3 linked regions of the Caenorhabditis elegans genome follow. The protein of the gene in region 3 interacts with the protein of the main gene of each other region in a pairwise test. Each region holds a gene or a part of one and is shown on either strand. Other genes may lie near its edges. The genes, in order: set-14, meg-4 and lin-56.

Region 1 (8,062 bases), 340 kb from region 3:
AAGTAAAAATTGAATTTTTTAGTTTTGGAAATATTTTTTTTTGGTTTTTTTTGGCAAAATTTGAATTTTGAAAAAAAAAATTTCAGCTTTTTTCATTTCAGAACTGGAATTTTTAGTTTTTTCGGCAGAAACAGATTTTTTTTTGGCAAAACTGGAATTTCCTTGGTTTTTTTCGGCAGAAATGGAATTTTTTACAGAATTTTTGTTTTTTTAATTCAAAAAAAAACGTACTGAAAAACGCCGCCCTTGGCTTCTCCAAGATACACAGATCCTCCAGAACTGCACCAACAATCAACTGCCACATCTTTCAAACCCATAAATTTCTGCTTTGGATCATCCTTGTCGAATACCACTGATCGATCGAAAAAATTGAATCGACGCCACCCGAATTCCGTCATTCTGAATTTTTTCTAAAGTTTTAGAGGAATTTGGCGTTTTTAAAGTATTTTTAATGTGGTTGCCAACATTTAATGTAACAAAAGTAGAAAAATTGCGTAAATCATCAATTCAAACATTAATTACCGAGTTTGATTAAATTTTCAGAAAACGGGAAAATCATTGAACAAAAAGGGAAGATGATGGCAATAAAACATGTCAAATTTGGGAATTCACAACCGAAATATACAAGAATATTATAGAGAGTTGGGGAGAAAAGATGAGGTAATAAATAATATTTTGCATAACAAAAAATAAGGAAAAATTGCTGAAATTTGTAAAAATACACATTATGATACACATTTTAGGATAAATTTCGAGCTTTTAGAATCATACAATACACGTTTCTACAAATCATTGAATCAGGTGTATAAATCTTTTCCAGTGGTTCTTCAATTTCTTGGAGCAATTTGGTCGCCTGTGTCTTTGCTCCGGCAGCGCAAAATAGTTGGGCAAGTTGATATTTTTGGAATAAGATCGCCGGATCAGTGGTGTTTTGGTAGACGAGCATGATGGAGAGAAGGGTTCCGCCGGTTTTGGCAGCGGCTGTGATACTGAAAGAAAACAAATGTTTTTTGGTGGAATTTTTTGTAATTCAGTTAATATTTATTGGTTTAGAAGCGTAAAAATGTAGTTTTTTTTAGAAAAAAAAAACAGAAAGCAGTAGAAATATAGCTGTAAAAATTTATAAATTTTCTCCAGATTTGTTACGATTTTTTGTCAATTTTTTGAAAAATTTTCAAATGGATGTAAAAGTAAAAGTAAGGTGTTTGTTCTTTGGTTATTGATTTTAAGCAAGATTTCTCAATTTCTCGGACATTTTTCCACAAAAATAATTATGAATACATGTCAAATTAACGATTTTTACACCAATTTTGAAGTGTTCTTTATGAAAAATTGTCTGAAAATTTTAGAAATGGTTTTTAGAATCAAATATTCATGTAAAGAACAAGAAAAACTGACGAATTTAGCTAGAAACCGCAAAAATGCCGAAATTATGTCATTCATGGGAAATCGAAGAAAAAAATTTTCGAAAAATTCTATAAATTTTTTTTAACAGTTATATGTCGGTTTTTCGATTTTTTTTTAAATCGAAAATCGAAAAATTCTCGATTATCCGATATTTCGTTTTTTTTCGGTTTTTTTAAAATTAGCTTAAGAATATATTTTTATGTTTTTTCTCATCAATATAAACAAAATTAGATGAAAATCACATTTTATGCTTAATTTTTTGAATTTTTATTTGATTTTTCGGAAAATCGAATATTTATTTTATTTTTGTTTTTCGTTGTTTTTAAAAAAAATATGTACAAAATGATAAGCCAATTTTTTAATTTTTTTTTTTGGGAAAATTGAAAAATCTTTAATAATTTCTAAAAAATTCTCTACATTTTTTAACAGTTAGAAATTCTTACTTCTGTGCCGCCAATGAGCAAATATACAAACATCTGAGCACAGGAATACGATGAACATTATGATCATGTAACGTGTCTTGAAATAGATCTAACAATTTTTCACACAAATTTCTCTTCGTCTCCAACGGAATCGCATCATTCGCAAGTCTCGAACGTGCGGCGATGCCAGCTTCCTCTGCCGTTCGACACAATTCAAAATGATCCTTGCTCATTGTCCAGCCACACAGTTCACATTGACCATTTTCCTTGTTTCTCATCCATCCTTTCACACAAATCCCGCAAGTCCAGGCTTCCATTCGTGCGTTTCGGTCTTCATCAAGACAACCATCACATTGGCACAGGAATTTGTATTTTTTCTGGAAATTTTGAGGTTTTTTTCAGGGTGTGTTGAACCTCCTGTAATCTCCTACTTTTAATGTATCTCTTCTCATATCTCTTGGCATTAGTTCGTCTATATAAGAATGACAAGCACCTTCCAGTGTTGAAGGAAGTTCACTTGAAACTGGAACCAGCATTGCGGTACGATTTCTGTAAAATTGGATTTTCATAGTTTCTCTCACGATTTGTTATGTTTTTTTATCGTTTTATAAAAGTTTAAAAAACATTAAATAACTATATTTTATACCTAGAAACTACGAAAAATTGAATTTAACCGAAACTTGTCGTGGCGAGACCGGCGCCGGTCGGCAAAAACCTAAAAATCTAAAAATTTCATGGCATTTACCTATAACAAACTCGAGTCAATGGTTTGCAGGAATGATTAGCTGCGCTCAGCTTAATGCACAATCCAACACCGATTGGATTTCCCGTGGAGTTTCCAACTACAAAACTATTTATCGAAACTTTTTGGAATATCAATTTGATCAAATCTCGATCTGGATGGGGAGCTATCGCAAATTGAAAGTATTCTTTTACAAAAGACTCTTCATCGGCGTCATATGATGATGGATGATGCTCGAGATTTTGAAAATTGCGAGCAACACCCGGAATATAGTAGGCTTCTATTTCTCCATCTTCGTTTCTGCTCAACTTTCCGGCAATTCTCATTACGAGTCGAATCGAGTCGTTCGCAACTTCATTATGAGTCTGAAATATGAAAATATTAGAAATAAATTGTAATATAACCATGAAATCTCCTACTTTAATAGCTTTACACTCCACTTTATGCAGCTTCCAGTCAGCTCTTTGACATTCTTGTGAGCAATAAGCAAGCCGTCGGCAGGCGCTGCACTTTTTGAGTTCTGCCATACTCGTAAGGCATTGATTACAATATGATTCGACTTGATCTCGTGCAAGAGCAAATGCGTACACATTTTCGTGGAGGGCGTCTGGGGGAAGATTCATTGGGAACTGAAAGAATTATTTGAATAATTTTTTTTTAACGGGTTTTTTAAAATTAAATTTTATAAAAAAAATTAAATTTAAAAAAAACTTCATCGATTGTAAATAATTTTCTGAAATTAAAAATTGAAGAAAATGAGAAAAATCGATAAAAGAATCTCTACAGTATTTTTAAAGGCACACACCCACACACAATTTTCAATGTCATTCGTGCCGAGACCATTCTGCAATAATGCGCCCTTCTTTAAACTCATAGAAGTGAATTTGTTTAATCGATGTTTTTCAGTCAATAAAGCCTCATTTTTTGAAAAAATATTTTTTTCGAGTATTAGCAACTCGTCTTCTATAATCGACAATATAAAAATATGAGTTTTCTTCATTTCAATTCATAGAATCAGTTTTGAATGGGAATGGAATGGACGGGAAGAAGGGAAGGAAAAATGTCCGAAAATTGAGAATACACCGAAATAAATAAAATTATTTTGAGAACGAAAAACCGTGAGAAACGAAACTGTTTTCAGAAATTCGAAAAAGAAGGATACACAACAAAAGAAAAAAATGGTGAAATAAAACAGAAAAATGGGCGATATTTCCAATGAGCAAAAAGATTAGTTGAGTCCGATCGTGTTCCAGAACTTGTTGAGCAATCCGTCAGGTGCCTTGCGAACCGATGGGGTTCCCTGTAAAATCTTTTTTAATTGGTTAGAAGGATTGAATCAATGAAATGCTTACGTTTGTTCTTTGATCGGCAGCCAATGGTCTCATTCCGACACCAGAACGGACGGAAATACGAGAAGAACTGAAAACATAAACAATTTTTTGTGGAAATATTAATTGAATTGTGAAAAATTAACTTTTTCTTTTTCACATTTTCAAAGTGGAGTAGCGCTAGACTACAAACTACAAACTTCGCTTTAGCAGATTCAAGTATAAAATTTAGATTTTTATGAATTTTTTACTAAAAATTTCTAATCATACTTGAGCGAGTTATTTGCATCAAAAACATTCGACGAGTTGAGCACACTGTTCTCATTGTGATTAACTGATTGATCGGCCATATCGTTCTCCACAAATGAGTTATACATGGAAGCAGATCGGTTTGCAGCTGCAGCAATGTTAGATGATCGAGCAACAATTCCGGATGCTGAGCCGTTGATCACGTCCTGTAAATTTTAAAATTAAAATAAAAAATAAATATATCCTTTTTACTTACCTTATTTGTGCACTGAACGACTCCAATAAATGTATCCTGATCGAGGAGAGTTCCGTTTCGAGAAATAGCTTGTTGAGCGTGTGTGACACACGAATAGCGCATATGTATGAAGTTTCCTTTTGATGGAGTCTGATGACTAACTACTTCCCCGTGCCGCGAGAATAAATTCAACAAAATCGACACTTGGCTTGGCTGAAATCCAAAAACAGTGACCCAGGTATCAGCTGCGTCGGCTTCTTCTTCCATTGGTTGTTCTTCTGCTTCAGCCAACCTGGATGTGACTCGTTGAGTGATTGGAGTGGAAAGTGGTGTTGATCTGGCAGTGAATGTATTTCGTCTGGAGATCTTTTTCGCTGGTTCAACTTTGTCGCGAAGAGATCGAAGAGGTGGTGCTGAAAATCAATTTTATTTTAAATATTCGCGAAAAAATGTAAATTCTAACCATGCATCGCTTGACCACCGAAAGATGATGTCTGAATCGACTGAGGAGCTGGCTTTGTCGGCGCCGAAAATGATGAATTTCCTCCGAAAGACAAGTTGGCAGGTGTATTCTGTGTTTGTGCCGCCGACTTTTCACCAGATTGCACCAAAGATGGAGACCAATGAACTGATTTAGAGCCCGGTGTATCCTTCAAATGCTGCGGCACTGCCGGTGCAGAAACAGCGAAAATATCCGAACATGGTGCCGATGCAGTGTTGAGCGGGCTAGCGGTGTCTAAATAATTATCATATTTTTGAGAAAACTTAAGATAAACTTTACTTACACGAAGATGGAACAGTTGCCTTTCGCTTTCCGAAAAGAAGTGCCGGCGTAGACTGTTCAACTGGTGTCCCGAAGCTAAAATTAGATTTTTAGTATTAAAAACTGGTTTTTTTTTTGCAAAATAAGAAACAAATTACTCACTTTGAAATACTAGAATTGTTGAGATCCATTGAGTTATGCCTTCCGGATGTATTTTGGTTAAGATGCGAGAACATGGCCTGAATTTCGAAATAAAATGCTTTTTAATTAAAAATTTAAGCAATAAACAAGTTTTTCAAATTTAAAATAAAGAAAGAATTGAAAAATACCGCTTTTTTAAAGTGGAAAACAGGTTCGAAAAGTTCCAAGAAAAAACATTTTTGTTTGAAAAATCAAAGTCCGCAACGACAAAACACGCAAAGCTACGCGCAATTGCGGACTTGAAAATGGAGGGAGTTTAAAATAGGGTTTTTGTGGTGAAAGTTTGCTGGGAGGTTTTCTGCGGGAAATAAAGAGAAAATTTTTTTTCTCTGATCGGATGTTTTGTAATTTTGATGAAGTCGATTTTCTGTTTGAACTTTGATTTTTTTTCTTCAACACTAGACACTGAAAAAAGTGAAATTCGTGTATGGGTTACTGTATAATACCGCCGACCCCTATAGTACATACCTATCCATAAAATATTGAATTCTAAAAAATTCTAGAAATTTAATTACACATTTCAGATGTTTTTGTTTTTATTTCCCTTTGACCTACTCCCTCGTCTAATTTTCGTTTTCAAATTTCAACGAGCACCACTCGTTTCTTCTCACTCCTCCTCGTTTTAATTGCAAAAAAAAACGGAGAAAATTGAGAAATGCACGACGACGGGGTCCCCCATTTAATTAAATTCCTTTTCTGTGTCGTCGACCTTTTTTTGTTGACCACACAGAGCACAACGTTCGGAGAGCTTCTTCCCGCCTCTTCATCAAATAAAATGAGAATTCATTCCTTTTTTGGGAAAGAAAAATGTTTCGTCGCGCACGACTATATAGCCCCCTGTGTCGTATAATATTTGCGGGTTGGTCAAAATGAGAAAGAAAAAAAACCAAAAGATGATGAATTGAATGAAAATTGTATTTAATATTAGTTTTCGGACCGAACCGGATGTAATTTATTTTCAGAAAATGTGGTTGGTTCTGACTGGAGCAGAAGTGGCGACCTGATGATGTAGTCAAACTTGCGCGTCAAATTTGGTGTTTTCGCCCCGCCTCTTAGAAGATGAGATTTTGATTTTTGAACTGAAACTTTCAAACTGTGATTCCCATAAAACCGTACGGAAATTACAATTTCCGTACTGTTACAAAACAAATTTTGGGATAGAGGGAATTATTACGTAGACGTCAAAATTGGGAAAATTTCGTAAAATCTTAGGTCTCGCCACGCCGAGTTACTGTAACTCGTCTCCATTTACGGGTAGCATAGTATCATAATTTTCAGATTTAATCGAAAATTGCTGTCAAGAATTTGAATATAATATTAAAAATGGCACAATATTGGTCCAGTTACAGTAACCCAATTTCAGCGTGGTGAGACCCGAAAACTTTCATCTTTAGACTACCACGTAATAACAGAAATTGAGAATAGAAAACGATGGTATTGGCCACACCCACATAACCGTGCGGAACTTGCAGATTTTGCAACCTCCGCAAGGTTCATTGAGCTCTCATTCTCATAACCGTGCGGAGGTTGCAAAATTTGCAATTTTCGCACACTCTTCTTCTCGTGGAGTACACATTCTCCGATTTCGAAATTTAAGAAAGTTTTTGGAGACGAGGTCACCTGGCAACGGGATCTATGAAGACTAGCGGAAGAACATTATAGCAACGATTCGTTTTTTTTTCGGCAATGTGTCCCAAGTGCATCCCTTTCCATCATTTTTCTTTTTTTATTCTACTCATCGTTCCATTCCACTTTCTTGTGTGTACGACAGCATTCATTCAATCCTAATTGGATGTGATCCTTCTGTGCCCCCCTCACTCACTCAACAAGTTGCTCTCGACGCTTCTTTTTCACATTTTTCTTCCTCTCTTCTTTCCTTTTAAAAGCACTCTACAGGATGTGTTGATGATGATGATGATGTTTTCTTTTTTCTCTATCTCTTCTCAATGCTTTTGAGATTTTTAATGAGTTCTAAAAATGGAAACGTGTGCAGCGCTAATAGAATTGAAAGCTCAACATTTTCATAATCACATTTTGTCTCAGGCCACCGAAATTAATATTAATTGTAAATTCTATATTTAAGACAAAGTTGCTCCTTTACAACACTATATACATTTCTCGGCCATTTCCATAATTATATTTCCCTTCGAATCAAAAGAAAAAAAACGGAATGAAAAAGAGCATTTTAAAATGAGATTTGCATCTTATTTATTAGTGGTCTCTGAGTTTTTATAATAAACGAGTCAATGGGGATTATACTACTGATGGAATGATCTGAATTTCTATGAAGCTGGGAGATCTCACTTGTCATTTGGAATGAGCATAGGTAAACGGAAACAGTTCGACGCCTACGTCATGCCTGCCTGCCTACACTCAAACCTTATGCCTATATATGTTTCTACACGCCTACTTCATACCTGCCTAACTATTCGCCTACTATATGCTTCTCGCCTGACTTGCCTAGATCATGCCAACCTAAGTACCTATCCTACCTACCTACCTACTTGCCCACCGCATGCCTACCTGTATGCGTACTTACTTGCCTACATTCCTTTCATGCCTACCTACGTGCCTATACGCCTATTTTGGACCTTGCCGGCTTGTTTGTTATCTGTCTGCTTCATGCCTGTCTACCTACGTACGAATAAAATATAAGAAAATGTTTCCATTCTATGATTGTGGCCGAGTTTTCTGCTTCCACGGCCACGTAGTTAA
Region 2 (8,676 bases), on a different chromosome or scaffold from region 3:
AGAGTAAGGTGCCCTGCCTAATTTGTAGGAAACTATAGAGAGGGCAGAGAAAGAGACAAATGAGAACGGAAGGGCGAGAGTTTCTAGCTCCAAGTCAAAGAATCAATAAGTAAATTAGCTCCAAAGCTCTAGAGTACAATAGAGAAAATTGCAATTCACAAATCTTTCGGTTTTTAGGATTTCTAATGATTTTATCTAAACATCTTGGTAAAATTACTTAAATCTGGAAAACTTGGCTCTAAATATTTACTCCATTTCGACAAAATAACTGGGGCGGCTATCACTAGTTGGGTGTCGTTTCCCTCAAGAACTTCACTACCAATGAGTCCTAGAATGAGTGTACCGTAATAATAGAGATTGCTTCAAACTGTTTTTGAACAGAACAGCAGACCAAAAGACCTGAAACGTGTTGGATTCAGAAAATCCAAGAATAGCACAAGAATAGCACGAGAGCAGCGAGAATTGAATACTGTTTGGGGGTTTATTATTGTGACAAGTTTATTTTAAAACTTGTGGGATTAGGCAATGAGAATCGGGATTTGAAACATGAAACAAGAAATTCAGAAAGTGGAAAGTAAAGGAATAGTTGAAAAATGGGAACATTGAATAAAGGGGGGAGGGGAAATATAATAAAGGATATGAAAAATGAAACAGTTATATAAACAATTATCAGTCAAATGCCATTCCGTCGAAATTATCATAAATGTTCATGTCCTTGTTGACTTCGCAAAAGTCTCAGAATGATTCGAGGTCGCAGACAATTTTATTCACTCTGAAAATATAGTATTATTATGACATAGGCTCCTACTTGGAAATGATCCAAGAAGGCTACTGGCGCAATTCTCGTGAGCTTTTTTAATGGTATTTTGGAGTCGGTTTAATGCTTGTAGTTTTTAATTAGCTAACGATTGTTCAAAATTGAAATGTTTCAGTTTTGGGCTAATCTTAAGCGTTTATCTGCTTGATATCTTTTAATTAGACCGAAGTTTCAAAATTTTTAATATTTTTTGGCAGTTTGGTATTTTTATAGGACGCTACTATGTATCTAATGTATACATTATTCCATAACCTTATTCCATGTTATTATAGATTTTCGAGAAAAGCACTTACAATGTGGGATTTGCATTAAAGATATTTTTCTCCTCGACTTGCCGATTCTTACTCTGAAATTAATTTCTGAAGGTTTTCGAAACTTTTTTGATACAAAAACTCACCAATTTACCATCTTGAGTCAGAAGATTTTTTGTAGACATTCGGGGTGCGGATAGCAGAAATTAAATTTCTGAAAGTAATGAAAATTAGCTTCTTGAAACTAATATAACTTTAAAACTCACCACACATACAATACATAAATTTTTTTAATTTGTTTTAATCCAGAAAAAAATGGTGGTGCCAGCCACACAAGCCGCCGCAGGAAGACCAAATGATACCTCCGGGAAAAAATTTTGATAAGAAAGTAGAGGAGCAGAGAAACAAAAACAATGAAAAAGTGTGTAGCGGACTGCAATAAAATTTTATATTAATGTAGAGTGACACACAAAAAGAAAAAGATGCTAAACAGTTTTCCTTCGAACTTTAAAAATATTTTAGTTTAAAAAAAATTTGAAAAAAAATCAAGTGTTTTTGATGGTTCTGGTGTTTCATTTAAATGAAACTATACTGTTTTATTTCATCAGGCTTAGGCTTAGGCCTATGCGTAGGCCTATGATTTGGCTTAGGCCTTGGCGTAGGCTTAGGCTTCGGATGTAAGCGATATTCTAGAAAATTTTGACTATGATAATTTGTCATTTTGGGATCATAGGAGTAGTTTTTAACAATTTCCCCTTTGGTTTTTTTGGATTTGGTCTGGCATGCTGCCACTGAAATGAAATTTCACAGGAAACACTGGATATCTAAGGCCAGCACTTAACATTGTTTTCATTCTTGAAAGCTGAAATCGCTAGTCAAATAGCCATCCAAGGAAAACACAACAAGTTTAAGGCGGGAAATGGCGCAAGTGGACGTTCAAAGAGAAGACCTTCAAATGAAGTTAGGCAGGCAAGTAGGCATGCCTATCAATAAAAATGTAGAGGGTAGTATCTAGTAGTATTAAGAAAACTTAACATTCCTATCCTTATAATCAGTAATTGCCAATTTGGATTGTTAATAACTTTTTATATTTCAGAGTCAACTACTAGAATTCTATTTATACGCGCCTATACCAATTTCCTCTACTGTGTTTTTCAGTACAAACGGAACCTTCGCTATCGTAGCGGATAAGTCTGAAGCATCGCTTTTGAAATTGAATCCGTGACCACTTTTTTGCCTAACTTTTACAAAAAGCCAAAGAAGAGACATATTTCTACTAATCAGTTGCCAATTATATACCTATTTCAAACATTCGCTTTATTGAAATTCAACTTTGAATTTTGAATGAGCAGCAGTCCTGATAACAATAGAAAACTACCCGTTACAAGTTCCTGGGCAGACCATAAATAAATTCACAAGAAGGAGCAAGTTGGAGTATAAAAAGAGTGGTTAAAAGGTCAATGAACAAGAATAAAATACAAAATACTCGACATGAAATAGATATATATCAGTACAATCATTGATCTCTGGGTGGGTCAAAAATAGATTCCAGCCATTCTCGTTTTGCATTCAAGTATCTGACAGGATCCGATTTCCGAAGATATACAAGGAGACACGCATCAGCAATTGAGATGATATTCTTCTGTCCGATACACTCCTTCCACAACATGTAGAGCATATTGGTGGAATCTGTGGAGCTGCTCGTATCGTCAAGCCGAGCCTGAACGAACTCGAGAGCAATATCTTTCTGAACTGCAAGGTCATTTGGATTTCCTAAGCAGGCTTCAGCAAACCGGAGAAACCATCTTCTGAATATATTTCGCACAGGTGGAACCCTTGGATCTGAAAAAATTTACGTTTTTCAAGATTAAATATGTCTTATCTTTCTTACCATCGGCATAAGGACCATCCAATCTTGGAATTGTCTCGGTGCAAAAATAATTCAAGTACAGCCATCTTTCAGGTGACATCCCGTGAATATTCAAATTCACTTTCAAGAGTTGTGTCTTCTCTTTGTAGTGAGCATCAATATAATCATTGAAGTCTTGTTGAGCTTCCAGGAATGCCGTCAAGCTATCAGAAATACGAGGTGGTGGTGAAGTTGGAGGTGCATCTTGAGAAGAATCTTCGGTCGGGTTGGCTGACTTGCAAGGGAGTGGGGCAGGCTGACTGAAAAAAAAATTAATTGTACTTGGAAAGTATGTTACAGAAATCGAATCAAGCTGTGCGGCAAAAATTTATATATTCTGAGGAAATTAAATTTATTAGCGGGCTCGCAATTCACCGTTTAGTAATTATAATATCAAGTGATTAGACTGGGCTCCAGGGATGTGTGGAAAATCTCAAAAGTTGCCGAGCACTACTAAATTTTTGGCGACAAAATCCATAGCTTTGATCAAAATTGTCTGAGCTCGGCAAACGGCAAATTAGGCTAATTCGGCAAAGTTGTTTCGGCAAAACCGTACAAATTTGCCGCACACCTTCTGGGCAATAGACAAAAGCAGAGGGCTTTTTGCGGAGTTGTGCAAGATTAATGCTCTATTTTTTTACTCGAGAGGTCTAGTCTTGACCTCAATCTACTCAACTTGCACATTATTTTCCATATGTTTGATCCACGATTTTTTGAGAATTCAGAAATTTATATAATACGAAACTCATTGCGAATTTATTGATTTGGGCCTTACCTGGTGGCTTCAGAGGACCATCTCCCGGCTTGGTTGTTCACTTCAGCCATACGATTATCACAATTGATTCCACTTCTTTTCGGAGTTGGGCAACCATTACAATCTATGGAAACTGGATTTCCGGTACAATGAGAGCTGGAAAAGAACATTTAAAAATGTTGTTTGTTCTTTGTAGTTCCATACCTTTTCAGTCCATCAAGCCCTGGAGTCAACTTTCGAGCGATTCGGTTTCCTGAAGTTGCTTCCTTCCCAGAAACCGTGGCGGAGTACATTGGTGACTTTGTGAGTTTCGAATCAATCATGCCAAGTGACTTGTCAATCTTTGAAGACCTGCAATACAAACATAATGAAAAAAGCAGCTCCAAGTGTAAAACTAACTTGTTGGATGCTGTCAGACATTTTTCTCCGATCAAAGCCTTCGGGCTTGTGATGATTGACAAGGAAGGTGTTCTCTGATCCTTGCTGAAATTCAAACTTTTACTAAATACTTCACTTTTTATCACTACATACCTTGAGAAAGCACGTTTTGTAGATTTCGGCTTCCCAGGGTCCCCATGAAGTAAACGTCTCATTTCCTCAACGTTGGCATCAAAAGTTCCTGTCCACTTTCTTCTTGAGATCTTTGGAGGAGAACTCGGATGTGGACTTGGTGTGGGTTCGACATCTTCTTCTACAGTCTCCAGCGTCACGTCAAGACTGGCGAGACGGGACGCACTACGAGAACTTCCACGACGATGTTTCTGCACTGAAGTTTTCTTCGAAAGATTTTCTGGCAGGGTTCGATTGTTTACATCCAGAAAACTGGAGTCGAAGTCTTCACCAATTGAGCAATTTAGATCACTTCTAGCTGGTAATGTCCGATTCAAATTGCTGCATTCTCCGTGAGAACTGGAAGCTGAGTGCAAGTGTTGTCCGATCTTCATGCTGACAATTTCCAGTAACTGTTCCACAGAAAGTTCGGTGCCGTCCTTGCTGAACACATTGGATTTCAGATTACGTTGAGCAGCTCCTCTGGAAGAGTTCAGTTTCTCCGCCACTTGACTGCCAGCATCCTTCGTTCCGCGAGACTGTTGTTGAGATTTGTTAGTGACAGATTTTGGACCGTTTGCAACACCATTGGAATCTTCTATGAACACGTCGTCAGACAGTTCATTGTCATCTGTGTTGTAGAAAGCACGATCCTGGACATTAGTGCTCCCATGTGATCTTCTTCTATCGTTTCTTGATCCTTCTTGATGATGCTTCCTTGTTAAAGCTTCATTAATAGTAAATCCGGAAAAGCTCTGGTTCAAATTCCGCGGCTTGAAGACATCATGCTGTTGGCCAAAACTAGAATTGATCGAATTGATAAGCTCATTTCCAAACATGCCTCCATATCTCTTGTCCTTGTGATCTCCAGGAGCTTGAACTCCAGCTTGAGCGTTGAAGCTTTTATTTCCATGAAGTTGTTGGTAAGCCTTGGTTTCTTGTTTCTGGAACCCAGCTGGAACGGAACTCCCACTGAATGACACATTCCCAGCATGGCCATGATTGTTCGATCCATCCGAGAAGCTTCGGCCAAGTTGTCCATTCGGACGGCTTCTACTGTGCCCTGTATTTGACTGCTGAGTGTTGTACTGATAAGTGGAAACTGACAAGTTCCGTTGATTCCAGCTGGAGTTATTGCGTGTCTGCGAGTTTTGACGGAAGTCTGCAGAGAACACGGGGGCCGTTGGAGGAATGCTCGATGAGTTGAAGACGTTTCTGTTAGCTCGAGCTGCATTCATCGATTGATTAATCGAGTGATTCAACTGGTCGCCGTTCATGGAAGGATTCCCGTTAAAAGACACGGATCCGTGGTGAGATCTGCCACCATATCCACGGCTTGTTGACTGAACACCGTCTTGCTTTACGAACGAATAAAACAATTCTTCAATACTAATGTGGTGTCCCATATTTTTCGATGCACTTTCCAAATTGCTTCGACTATGAGAGCGGTGACCTGAAATTACAAATTGAAGAAAAAAATTGATTTAAAAAATGCTTACCTTCTCTGTTTCCTCTGGAGTTTGGCAGATCACATGAGGAAAGCTTTGAAGAACTCATACCTGCAACAAAAAAAACTTAATGAAATATTACAAAATGTAAAAATGTAAAAATGTAAAGAAAATAATGAGGGAGAGAGGAATTAATGAAAACCGGTGGGACCAAAAAGCAAGAATGGAGACCTGTGAGTGAGTGAGTGCGAGAAGTGAGAGAGTGAGAGAGGTAGAGAAAGAGAGCGCGAAATAGTGTGTGGGGAAACGGTCAGGGGAATGCATGCGCGCGGCAAAAACACAGTTAAAATGCGGCAGGGGTATTACCAAAACAACACAAAACGTTTGTATGGTACCGGCTGTTTTTCAAGAGTATTGGAGGTTTGAGGAACAGTTGAGTAAAAAGTCGGATATTGATAGTTAATTCTCTGGAATATTGGTGACCGGAAAGATAATCACTGAATAAAACACGAGAAGAAGAAAAATAAGGAAAAATCTTTGGTTCCGTGTACTTGTTAGTTTAAAGGTGGAGTAGCGTTTGTGGGTTTTTTGTACCTTAATGACAAAATAGAGTTTCAATGTAAATATCGAATAAAACTGTAAAAAAATTCCGAACATTTTCTTTGAAATTTTATGATTTTTTTCAATTTTGCAAAAAAAAAGGGCCGAATTATTTTTCAATTCCAGCGCAAATTATTGACCTGATCTTTGACATTTTTCTTAATATTTTCTTTGATTTAAAACTTAAAACTTTAATTTTTCACAGTTTCATACATTTTTCAGTAATGTTTCAGTAAAGTAAGTTAAAATTAATACTGAATTATCGATTTTTAGACTAATTTCAGCGTTTCCAAGTGAGCAGCCAATTTTCTTTACGGAAAAATGTCTGAAAATGTGGCAAGTAAAATTTCAAATTATGACACAAAGAAAAAATGAAGAAAACTCAAACAGTTTGCCACGTGGGATCAAATGAAAATCTTGAGGACTGTGGTCGATAACTTCTGCCAATTAATTTTCTAGACTGTCTCATGTTTCAATACCAAAATGAAATCATTAAATACTGCCAGGTTGCCCCACGTGGCAAAATTTTTTTTTTTTTTTTTTTTTGGTTTTTTTCTACAGGTCTTGCCTGGATAAATGCCGTATGTAAGCTGTAAGACAGTGGAACGAACACTGAATTCCCATTTAAGGCTGGAAGGACCTAGGAGGTGGGGGTCGAACTTGTGACCTTGTGATTGCAAGCAGCGCGCATAGGCACTGAGCCATGCACCCCCCGGAAGCATGAGTCACTAATAGGGGTGGCTATAGGTCGACCTAGGTCGACCTGCGACCTAGAGGGTTAGGTCGCATCGCGACCTAGGTCGCATTGCGACCTGCGACCTAGCGACCTGGGTCGCTTTGCGACCTGCGACCTAGCGACCTGGGTCGCTTTGCGACCTGCGACCTAGCGACCTAGGTCGCATCGCGACCTGAATTACCGACATTTTGTTCTCTTTCGGTTTTGATTCACTTGAGTTGTTAAAATCCGTATAACTCGAAAACTAAAGATTGCAGAATATGTATGATATATTCCACTAACATTTTCTCTATTAAGATTTTATAAGTTTATGCGTAGTTTTTTTTCAAAAGTACGGAACAAAGAATTCATTTCTACAAATAAAACCATGCATTTCAGCAAATTTTTTCAAAAAGTTCACGTTTTTGTGGTTTTTGTTGTTTCTAAAATTTCATTTTCCACTTTTCGAATTAAAAACGTAGAAAAAAGCAGCAAATCCGGCGGATGTCGGCTGTTCTAACTTTTTTCGACAAGGTGTCTTATGGATGAGAAATCGAAAACAATGTAAAATAAATGATTTGTAGCAATTTGTTAGTATAAAAATTGTCGGTAATTCAGGTCGCAATGCAGTTTTCGAGTTATACGGATTTTAACAACTCAAGTGAATCAAAACCGAAAGAGAACAAAATGTCGGTAATTCAGGTCGCAATGCGACCTAGGTCGCTAGGTCGCAGGTCGCAATGCGACCCAGGTCGCTAGGTCGCAGGTCGCAATGCAACCCAGATCGCTAGGTCGCAGGTCGCTAGGTCGCAGGTCGCAATGCGACCTAAATGAAAACAGCGACCTAGCGACCTAGGTCGCACTCTTGCCACCCCTAGTCACTAATGAATTATATGAAATCGATCGCCGGAGAAGCTGCAAGCAGCATACAAAGGATCTTTTTTATTTTTTATTTTCAATTGATCTCTCTAGAGTGGCTTTTCTTATAAAATATTGAGACTTTTCCAAAGTCTCTATATGCGTTGTAACCAAAATTCCCAAACTGCCAAGCAAGTATTTATAATGAGTTCAAATTCGAAATGGGGAAATTGTTTTAAAACACGCCTATGTTACCACAATGACCGAATATCATGATAAAAAATTTTCTAGATTTCATATGATTTTTTGAAAATTGCAAAAATCTCAGTTTTCCTCTAATTCCTATTCGAATTTCCGCCGAATGAATTCGTTCGCTGGAGCGCACTTGCATTATTTTTATTAATTTATTTTATTTTTTCTCATTATTACACTGATTTTCTTCATTCTTTGTGTATTTTTATCGGAAAACAAGAGAGAAGATAAATGCAAATTATTTATTTAAAAATAACTGAGAATGGGTGAAACTGTGAAATAAGCTAATTTCAGGCTTGCTATCGTCGGAACTCATAATTTTACAGTTTTACCCATTTTCAGTGATTTTTAAATAAATAATTTGCATTTATCTTGAATTTTTCTCTCTTTTTCCGATAAAAATACACAAAGAATGAAGAAAATCAGTGAAATAATGAGAAACAATATAATAAATTAATAAAAATAATGCAAGTGTGCTCCAGCGAACGAATTCAATTGGCGGAAATTCAAATAGGAATTAGGG
Region 3 (7,338 bases):
AACAGTTGCAGTTGGTTCAGTTCTGATATTTCAAGTAAATTTAAAATGTTTTTCTCTGATCTCATGCTTTTTTTTAATGATTTCTTTGAAAACTAGAGACGAAATCAGTTAATTTTCTCAGTTTCTTTAGATTTTCCAGTTCGTACGTACGTTTTTTTAATGTTAAGCATTAGAAATATGATGATTCACGATCCAAAATTTATTTTTTCACATTAGTCATCTCTGTTTCTTTGTTTCTTCGTTTCTTTCCTATCAAAATAACTAAAATTGACGTCAGAAAACGTTTGTACAAACATATTAAACTTCCCGTAGTTTCTATTCTCAAAAACATTATTGTTATCCTCTTATCTTCCTATTTTTGAGATTTGATCGTTCCTTGTGATCATTTATTCACTCTTTCATTGCCAACGTGATCGGGAGGCGAAAAACGAAACAACGAAGAAAAATCATGTGAGCTTTCTGTCAGAAACCGATCGGAGAGAAATTGCGATTTTAAACTTTGAATTTCGTTTTTCCATCTGACCCGACGAACGTTTTTGTCAAACCGCTTTATCACAAAGATCACAGAAATATTTCAAACAATTTTTTTTTGAATGTTCGCTGGTAAAAATTGAATAATATTAAATGAAGTTGTCCGTGCAAACTTCCCTAAAGTTTGAGTTACTCTAATCCAAATAATCTAGTTTTTAAAATATCTATCCTAAAATTTTAGTTCTATGGAATAGTCCAAAGTATCTTTCATCGATGACATCATGTTGTTAGTTTATACCAGTAATGTGACAGTGTAGGCCAAACAAGTGTGAAGGTCGAATGAAATTTCGCTATTATTTTTCATTTATATGTCTGTCAAACCATTTTCCATTTTGAACACTTTATTCCAATTTTAAGTAATCAATTTCTTTATTCTCTAGGAAAATGCTCACGTGAAAATTTAAAAGTGGAGAGTGTGTAAATTTAGAGTTTTCAAGCTTCCAATCGGCAAATATTTGCTTTAATTTCATTTTTATGCAGAGAGCGGAGGAGCACACATACTGTTCAGGTGCCAAGAGGTCGTATTTGCTGTCTTATCATATGGTTTGGTTTGGCGCCAGAAGGAGGTCGGATATCCGTTAACCTCTAAAGTTTCGATGGCATCAGTTGGTGTTCTAGCTTTCTAACTGATCAGGTGCCATTGCTCACGTGGCTCCTGGTGATCTTGATTCTATCATCACATAGTTGTCTTTAGAGTTAACTCCGATGTATTGGCTGAATATTGTAGAAAAAGTCCTTGATCTTCTCATGAATACATTCCTCACGATTCACAATCTGCAATAAACCACCAGCAATTAATATTATGGTTATCTAGTACATACGAAAGAATGACCTAGGTTCTTTGCACCCTGTAGAACCTGTTTTTCCGTATCTCTTCATCGTGATTTAATTTGATTCGTCGATCGGTTTCCCCCATGTTATCATAGTGTAAAACCATGATGAAGCCTAATCATGTGGTGTGCACTCATTTTCTTATCATTTTTGCAGAAAAAATGTTTGATGACGAGCCATTCTCGTGGCGTCACATTGACATGCTTCCAGTTGTTAAATTTTTTCGAACCAACTGACGTTGTTGATAGAAAATTCGCATATTTCTTGGAATCATATGTCCTATCTCAGTGCACATGGAACGTCTAAAGAATGTGAGAAAGAACGGCAGAAGCTCATGATTCGATGTTTTTTTCCCATCCAGTCTGGTCAACTGTGATATTCCATGAACAGTCACACGTCTGCTCGTTCTTTCGGCCTGTTTCTTCTGTTCCTCCGCCAAATCACTCGTCATTTGCGTCTTTCTTCTCATGACGACCACTGCATGGATGGCTTTAAATTGTTGGTAGCCAACATTTTTCTTCTTTTTTTTTCTCTGTTTTTCAACTCATTCGGTTAGAGTTTAAGATTCGTTGAGTTTGGCACGTTTTCTGCTTGCAATCGGATATCTGTGGAGTTTAAAACACATATGTTCTTTTCTTTGCAAATTTGCTTGAACTATTCTCAAGTTTTCTCAAAATAATATATTTATCACCTTCTAGTTTTACTGATACGTTTAGTCAGAAGCCTTTTAAAACTATATAATTCTGGGATTTTCTTTTATTACATTCATCCTTACTCAATTTTAATTGCTTCTTTATACTTTATTATTCTATTCTATGATTTTCAGAACTTTAATTTCCACTTTTTCAGCCGAAAAACTAATGTATCGAGTGCTTTTGAGTGGTGCTGCTGGCAGCGGAAAGGGAACAATTGCACGAATGCTCGTGCGAGAATTCGAACCCCTAGGATTCAATTATTTCGCTGCTGGAGACTTTATTCGCGATCATATTGCCAGAGGGACAGGTAAGCATTGATAATTTCTGCCATTTAAAAGAAAATTAGTTTAAAAAAACCATTAAAATTTTGCAGAATTCGGAGTTCGTGCACAATCGTTCCTCAACAAGGGCGAGCACGTTCCAGACAGTATTCTGAACGGAGCCATACTGGCGGAGATGCTTAAAGCAGGACCACGTGTCGTTCTCGACGGATATCCACGAAACATGAGCCAGCTGAAAATGGTTGAAGAGCAGGCGCCGTTGAATTTGATCGTTGAATTGAAGGTTTGTGTTTTTTGTTTTTGAAAAAAAACAAAAATTTTTAAAAGTGGGTTTTTGAAAAAAAAAACAATTTTTAAAAGTGGGTTTTTGAAATAAAATTAAACAAGAAACGAAAAAAAAACAAATATTTTTAAAGGTTCCTCGCAAAGTGCTCATCGATCGTTTGTCAAAGCAATTGGTGCATCCAGCATCCGGAAGAGCATACAATTTGGAAGTGAATCCACCAAAGGAGGAGGTCAGCCGATTTTAAAAAAATTAATTCCTGTTTTAATGAATTATTTACAGGGCAAAGACGATATCACGGGAGAGCCACTGTTCAAGCGAAGCACGGATCAGTTGGAGGTGGCAAGAAGGAGGCTTGAGGTTTACGATAAGACAGAAAACAAGGTGTTGGACTATTATAAGTGAGTTTTGTTTTTGAAAATCTATAAAAAATGTTGAAATGTTGAAAAAAAAACATAAAAATTCTTCGAAGCAATTATTTTGCCTCGGCGATTATTCCATTACGTAATAGGGTTTAAAAATTTCTCCTATTAACCATACACGAAATTTTGTAATTTTTAAACCAAAAACCGACAATTTTTAGTTGGATGCGAATTTTAACTGTAATAAACGTTCGTTTAATTTGTTTTTGCAAATAAATATTTATATTTTAAATGAAAAAATTCGAAAAATCAATGAAAATTCCGCTGCGGCTAAAGTTTGAAACTACAGTACTCCTTAAAGGCGCACACACATTTTTCCATTCAACATAAGTTTGTCCTGTCGAGACCGGGTACCGTATATTTCGCTCAAAATTCCACTTCTATGTAATATACATTTATGGGTAATCAAAAAATGTGACCGTTGTTCAGAAAATAATTCACTTTCAAGAAAATGAAGTATCCTTGTTGAAAACTTAGATGATCAAAAATTAGATTAGACTGCCTAATTTTCAAGATTGAAACCTCTGTCTTCAACAAACCTGTACCTTTTTTTCATAAAAGTAAGCTATTTTTTGAAAAAACGATCTCATTGACATTGTTTGAGAGCGTTATTGGCAAATAGCTAAATTTACTTAATTAACACTTTTCTCATTTCCAGGAAGCAAAACAAGTGCATCACAATGTCTGGTGAATCATCGAAAGCCGTATTCGAGTCGGTTGCCGAAGTGATGCGTCGTGATCTTTTGACGACAACTCCAAGAACTGCATACGCATAAGTTCTACACTGAATACTGTATCCTATTTCTCTAACCATCCAGACCTTTGAACACCCATTGAACCATTTGATTACGGGTTAGTCTCCCTAGAAAATCGAATTAATTCTGCTGTTTTTTCTTCTCTCTTCCTTTCTCCATGAACGCTTTATTTCGGTTTGCCCCATGTTTTCCCCTGTTATCCAACAATTTTCCTATATCTGAAAACGGATTTTTGAAATCCAATATTTCTTAAATTTTTTCTCGACACGACACACATGATTTTATACACATGATTTTTCATTTATTTGTTTTCTTATTTTCTTCTCTTCAAGTTATGGGTATTTTTGCGTGTAAATGAAAATCTTTTCATATTTCTAAAATTTGTTTTCAAGTTCTTCATTTGCGGATTTTGACCGTAGGCTTCATGTTTACAGGATAGAAGAGAAGACAGAGAGAGACGACTTTTTCGCTGAAAATACGGTACCTCGTCTCGACACGACAACTTCTCGATAACTGAACAATATAAAGACATTAATTTTTAACACATCGTGAGAATCGAAAAAATCGATAAAAATTGGGAATAAACGAGAGTTTCAACCTACAGTACTCTTTAAAGGCGCATACTTTTTCTCGTTAAACATAAATTAGTCGTGTCGAGACCAAGTACCAAATTTTTAACGAAAAATTGTAACATTTCGAGTCTGTAATATTTAAGGAAATAATGAATGTCCTCGCAAAAAATATGTTCAAGTAAAGAGAGTGCAAACGCGCTCTGTTGAAAATTCAAAAGAAATGGGAGACGCAGAGGAGAGAAACGAAATTTCCCGATTTCTCTCCTTCATTCGTTTAATTTACAATCTATATTGCAAAAAACTAGATATTTTGTGGCATTTTTACAATTAAAAAACCTTTAAAAAATGGATCACCATGCTATGTACCGAACCGCTGAATTCAACAAAACTACTGTCCGATTATTGGCGGAATTCATCGAAAAGACTGGGCAGAATGCGACGATAGTGAATATGGACAGCTTTTTGGAGTTCTTTGCGTATTTGAATCCCACGGCTCCAATTCCAACGGTTCCAGAAATTGTGAGTTTTATTTATTTTTTTTTTGCAGATTTTTTGCAGAGACTTGAAAAAGTAAATAGTTTTAATATTATAATTTAAAAACATGTATTTCAGGAAAAACAATTATTGCTAAAATCACCGATTCGTTGCATTGTGTGTGGAATGGAAACTGAATCAGATTCCGCAGTGACATTAAGCATCGATAATGCTTCAATTATTCTCACAGCGACAGTAATTGGTTACTGTAGAGATCCAAGTGATGCAGTTAATCAAATTCGAAAGGAGAGTCTTCGAGCATGCACGAAACATTTCAACAGTATTGTAAGTTTTAATTTAAATTGAAAAGGAAAAAATTAAAAAAAAAGATTTAATTCCAGTTCCATGTCATCTTCGAAGGACTGCAAATCGAGAACACCTACTGTGCTCATCATGCAAAATACAGTCTTGCCAATCGTTGGTGCAAAGTCTACACGATGATTCGAGTAAGTTATTTAATTGGAAATTTAATAAAGTTAAATTTAAAATAAAAATTTTCAGTCTTCCCTGGGCGAGCAGTTCACAAAGTTCGATGTGCGCAATTTTAAATCAATATTGCAATCATTTTTGGATACTTTTGGTGAAATTGATGACGACAAAAAGGATAAAGAATCTTCTCATTTTGATGAATGTTTTGAAGAAATGGATTCAGAAAACGTAGAAATTAAAATGGAGAGCCCACAAGAAGAAGCTGCAGAGAAATCGAAGTTTTCTGAAAACCTAGTGGAGGTAAAACTGGAACCAATTGAAACTCATGAACTTGACAAAACTATATCCGACTTTTCTTCAAGTGATATAATTGATTCGTCCCAAAAACTGCAGCAAAATGGTTTTCCTGAAAAAGTGGAGCAAATGGACAAATATAGCAACAAATTGAAAGATGAAGCTTCAGACAAAAAGTATGAAAAGCCAGGAAAAAAGGACTACGTTGAAGAAGAGGGATACTGGGCGCCGATCACCGACAGCGAGGATGATGAAGCCTGAATTTATTTAATCAAACGTTTTGGAAATTTTTTTTGTTTTTGTCAATAAAACCATATAACAATTTTCCTGCACAACCAATACATTGAATCGAATCTTTTAGCCTCCAGAGTGCACAAATCTATAAATTTTTCAGGACTTGTTGTAATTTCGCATGATTTTGATGTGCCTCTTAAAGGCGCCCGGATTTATCCAGATGAGTCTTGGCACGCAAAAAAGTTTTTGCCGTTTTTGATCCATTTTCTGTTAAAAATTATTTTAAATCAGTTTTCGCATTACAAAAACTATTTTTTTTCATCAAAAAATGTGTGATTTTCTGTTTGTCGGCCAGGAAATAAAAAGAAAGCAACACAATTCGCAAAAAACTATGTTTTTTCATTGAGAAATGCAAGGAGAATAAACTAGAAAGCTGCCACAAAAAATAATACCATCAACTTTTATCGTGCCGAGACCCATCTGGATGAATCCGTGCGCCTTTAATAAGAAATGTCAAAATCTTGTGAAATTACAATATATCTATTTTTTGCACAATTAATATTTTGTATCGAGTTATTTAGCGCTGGAAATGCCCGAGAAATATTTCAGATTTCCAAATGTTTTGTTTTATTGCAAAAAACACGAAGACTACTGAACGCGCACACAGCCGAACACCAAATTGTAAACGCGCTCCGCTGAGTGTGCCGAAAAAGTCGGTGGTCGTCGGTGCTTGGTAAATACGTATTGATTTTCCAATTGCCAGCCACGGCAACCGGGTTGCCGAATGACTTGACATGTTTCATCTTCAAACTTACTCTGCATTTATGAACAGGAATGTGGATCCAAAATCGTGGTGGCTCACCGAGAAGGTAATTGCCGAGTTGCCGTAACCTAGCAACCGGCAATTATACCCACATTCTCTCAATTCTTAGTTTTTCCTCACTTCATTTTTTCTGTAGATAAATATCTGAGTTTTCCTTTTATTATTTTAATTCTTTTTTCAGATGTCTAAAATTGCAAAGTTCTACGATGCTATAGAAGAAGGAAGATTTAGATGCAAAATTTGTAATTATATCGGAAAAAGAGGACAACAAGGTGATTTGGATTTAAAAAAACATTTTAGAGATCGACTTTCTGTAAATCTCTAGAGCAAAACCATATAGTTTCTGAATCTAAAAGCTACCGTAGTTTTTTTTTTTTTTAATTTCCATCAATTTCAGTATTTTTTCAGGTTCCACGTATCCACAGATCAAACATATGAAAAGGTTACATCCAAATGAGTTTGCAGAAGTTGACGGATCACAGCCTCCGCAAGTTACTCTCAATACAACTACTCCACCTACAGTACTCCCAGTGGCTCCAAAAGTGGAAAAAATGGAACTGAAAGCAGATGTAGGTATTCTTAATTATAGATACAATTGCAGTTCACATTAATCGGGCAAGATTCAATGAAAAATTAAATTATTCAGTGAGAAAA

Evidence for each region.
Region 1: the proteins of lin-56 (region 3) and set-14 interact in a two-hybrid assay, tested with the Caenorhabditis elegans proteins (one large-scale study listed by BioGRID).
Region 2: the proteins of lin-56 (region 3) and meg-4 interact in a two-hybrid assay, tested with the Caenorhabditis elegans proteins (one large-scale study listed by BioGRID).

What each region holds. Positions count from the first base shown.
Region 1 is NC_003280.10:10,793,095-10,801,156, forward strand, and holds set-14 (SET domain-containing protein 14), read right to left. Parts: upstream 3,201-8,062; 5' UTR 3,195-3,200; coding exon 2,991-3,194; intron 2,937-2,990; coding exon 2,575-2,936; intron 2,379-2,574; coding exon 2,261-2,378; intron 2,207-2,260; coding exon 1,851-2,206; intron 990-1,850; coding exon 740-989; 3' UTR 501-739; downstream 1-500. Other genes in the region: vps-11 (Vacuolar protein sorting-associated protein 11 homolog), read right to left, coding at 232-398; npp-19 (Nucleoporin NUP35), read right to left, coding at 3,800-3,880, 3,924-3,990, 4,170-4,354, 4,405-4,796, 4,847-5,119, 5,169-5,242, 5,309-5,382.
Region 2 is NC_003284.9:1,680,117-1,688,792, reverse strand, and holds meg-4 (J domain-containing protein), read right to left. Parts: upstream 5,840-8,676; 5' UTR 5,838-5,839; coding exon 5,780-5,837; intron 5,734-5,779; coding exon 4,263-5,733; intron 4,215-4,262; coding exon 4,131-4,214; intron 4,083-4,130; coding exon 3,936-4,082; intron 3,888-3,935; coding exon 3,753-3,887; intron 3,238-3,752; coding exon 2,960-3,237; intron 2,911-2,959; coding exon 2,585-2,910; 3' UTR 2,374-2,584; downstream 1-2,373. Other genes in the region: C36C9.11 (Transposase), read right to left, coding at 736-772, 1,111-1,163, 1,215-1,253.
Region 3 is NC_003280.10:10,446,055-10,453,392, forward strand, and holds lin-56 (Protein lin-56), read left to right. Parts: upstream 1-3,952; 5' UTR 3,953-4,715; coding exon 4,716-4,889; intron 4,890-4,982; coding exon 4,983-5,189; intron 5,190-5,245; coding exon 5,246-5,350; intron 5,351-5,405; coding exon 5,406-5,888; 3' UTR 5,889-5,951; downstream 5,952-7,338. Other genes in the region: putative adenylate kinase isoenzyme ZK673.2, read left to right, coding at 2,223-2,364, 2,431-2,621, 2,755-2,853, 2,904-3,022, 3,702-3,819; ZK673.4 (uncharacterized protein), read left to right, coding at 6,866-6,956, 7,093-7,253. UniProt on the Caenorhabditis elegans protein: Required for translation, stability and/or localization of lin-15a.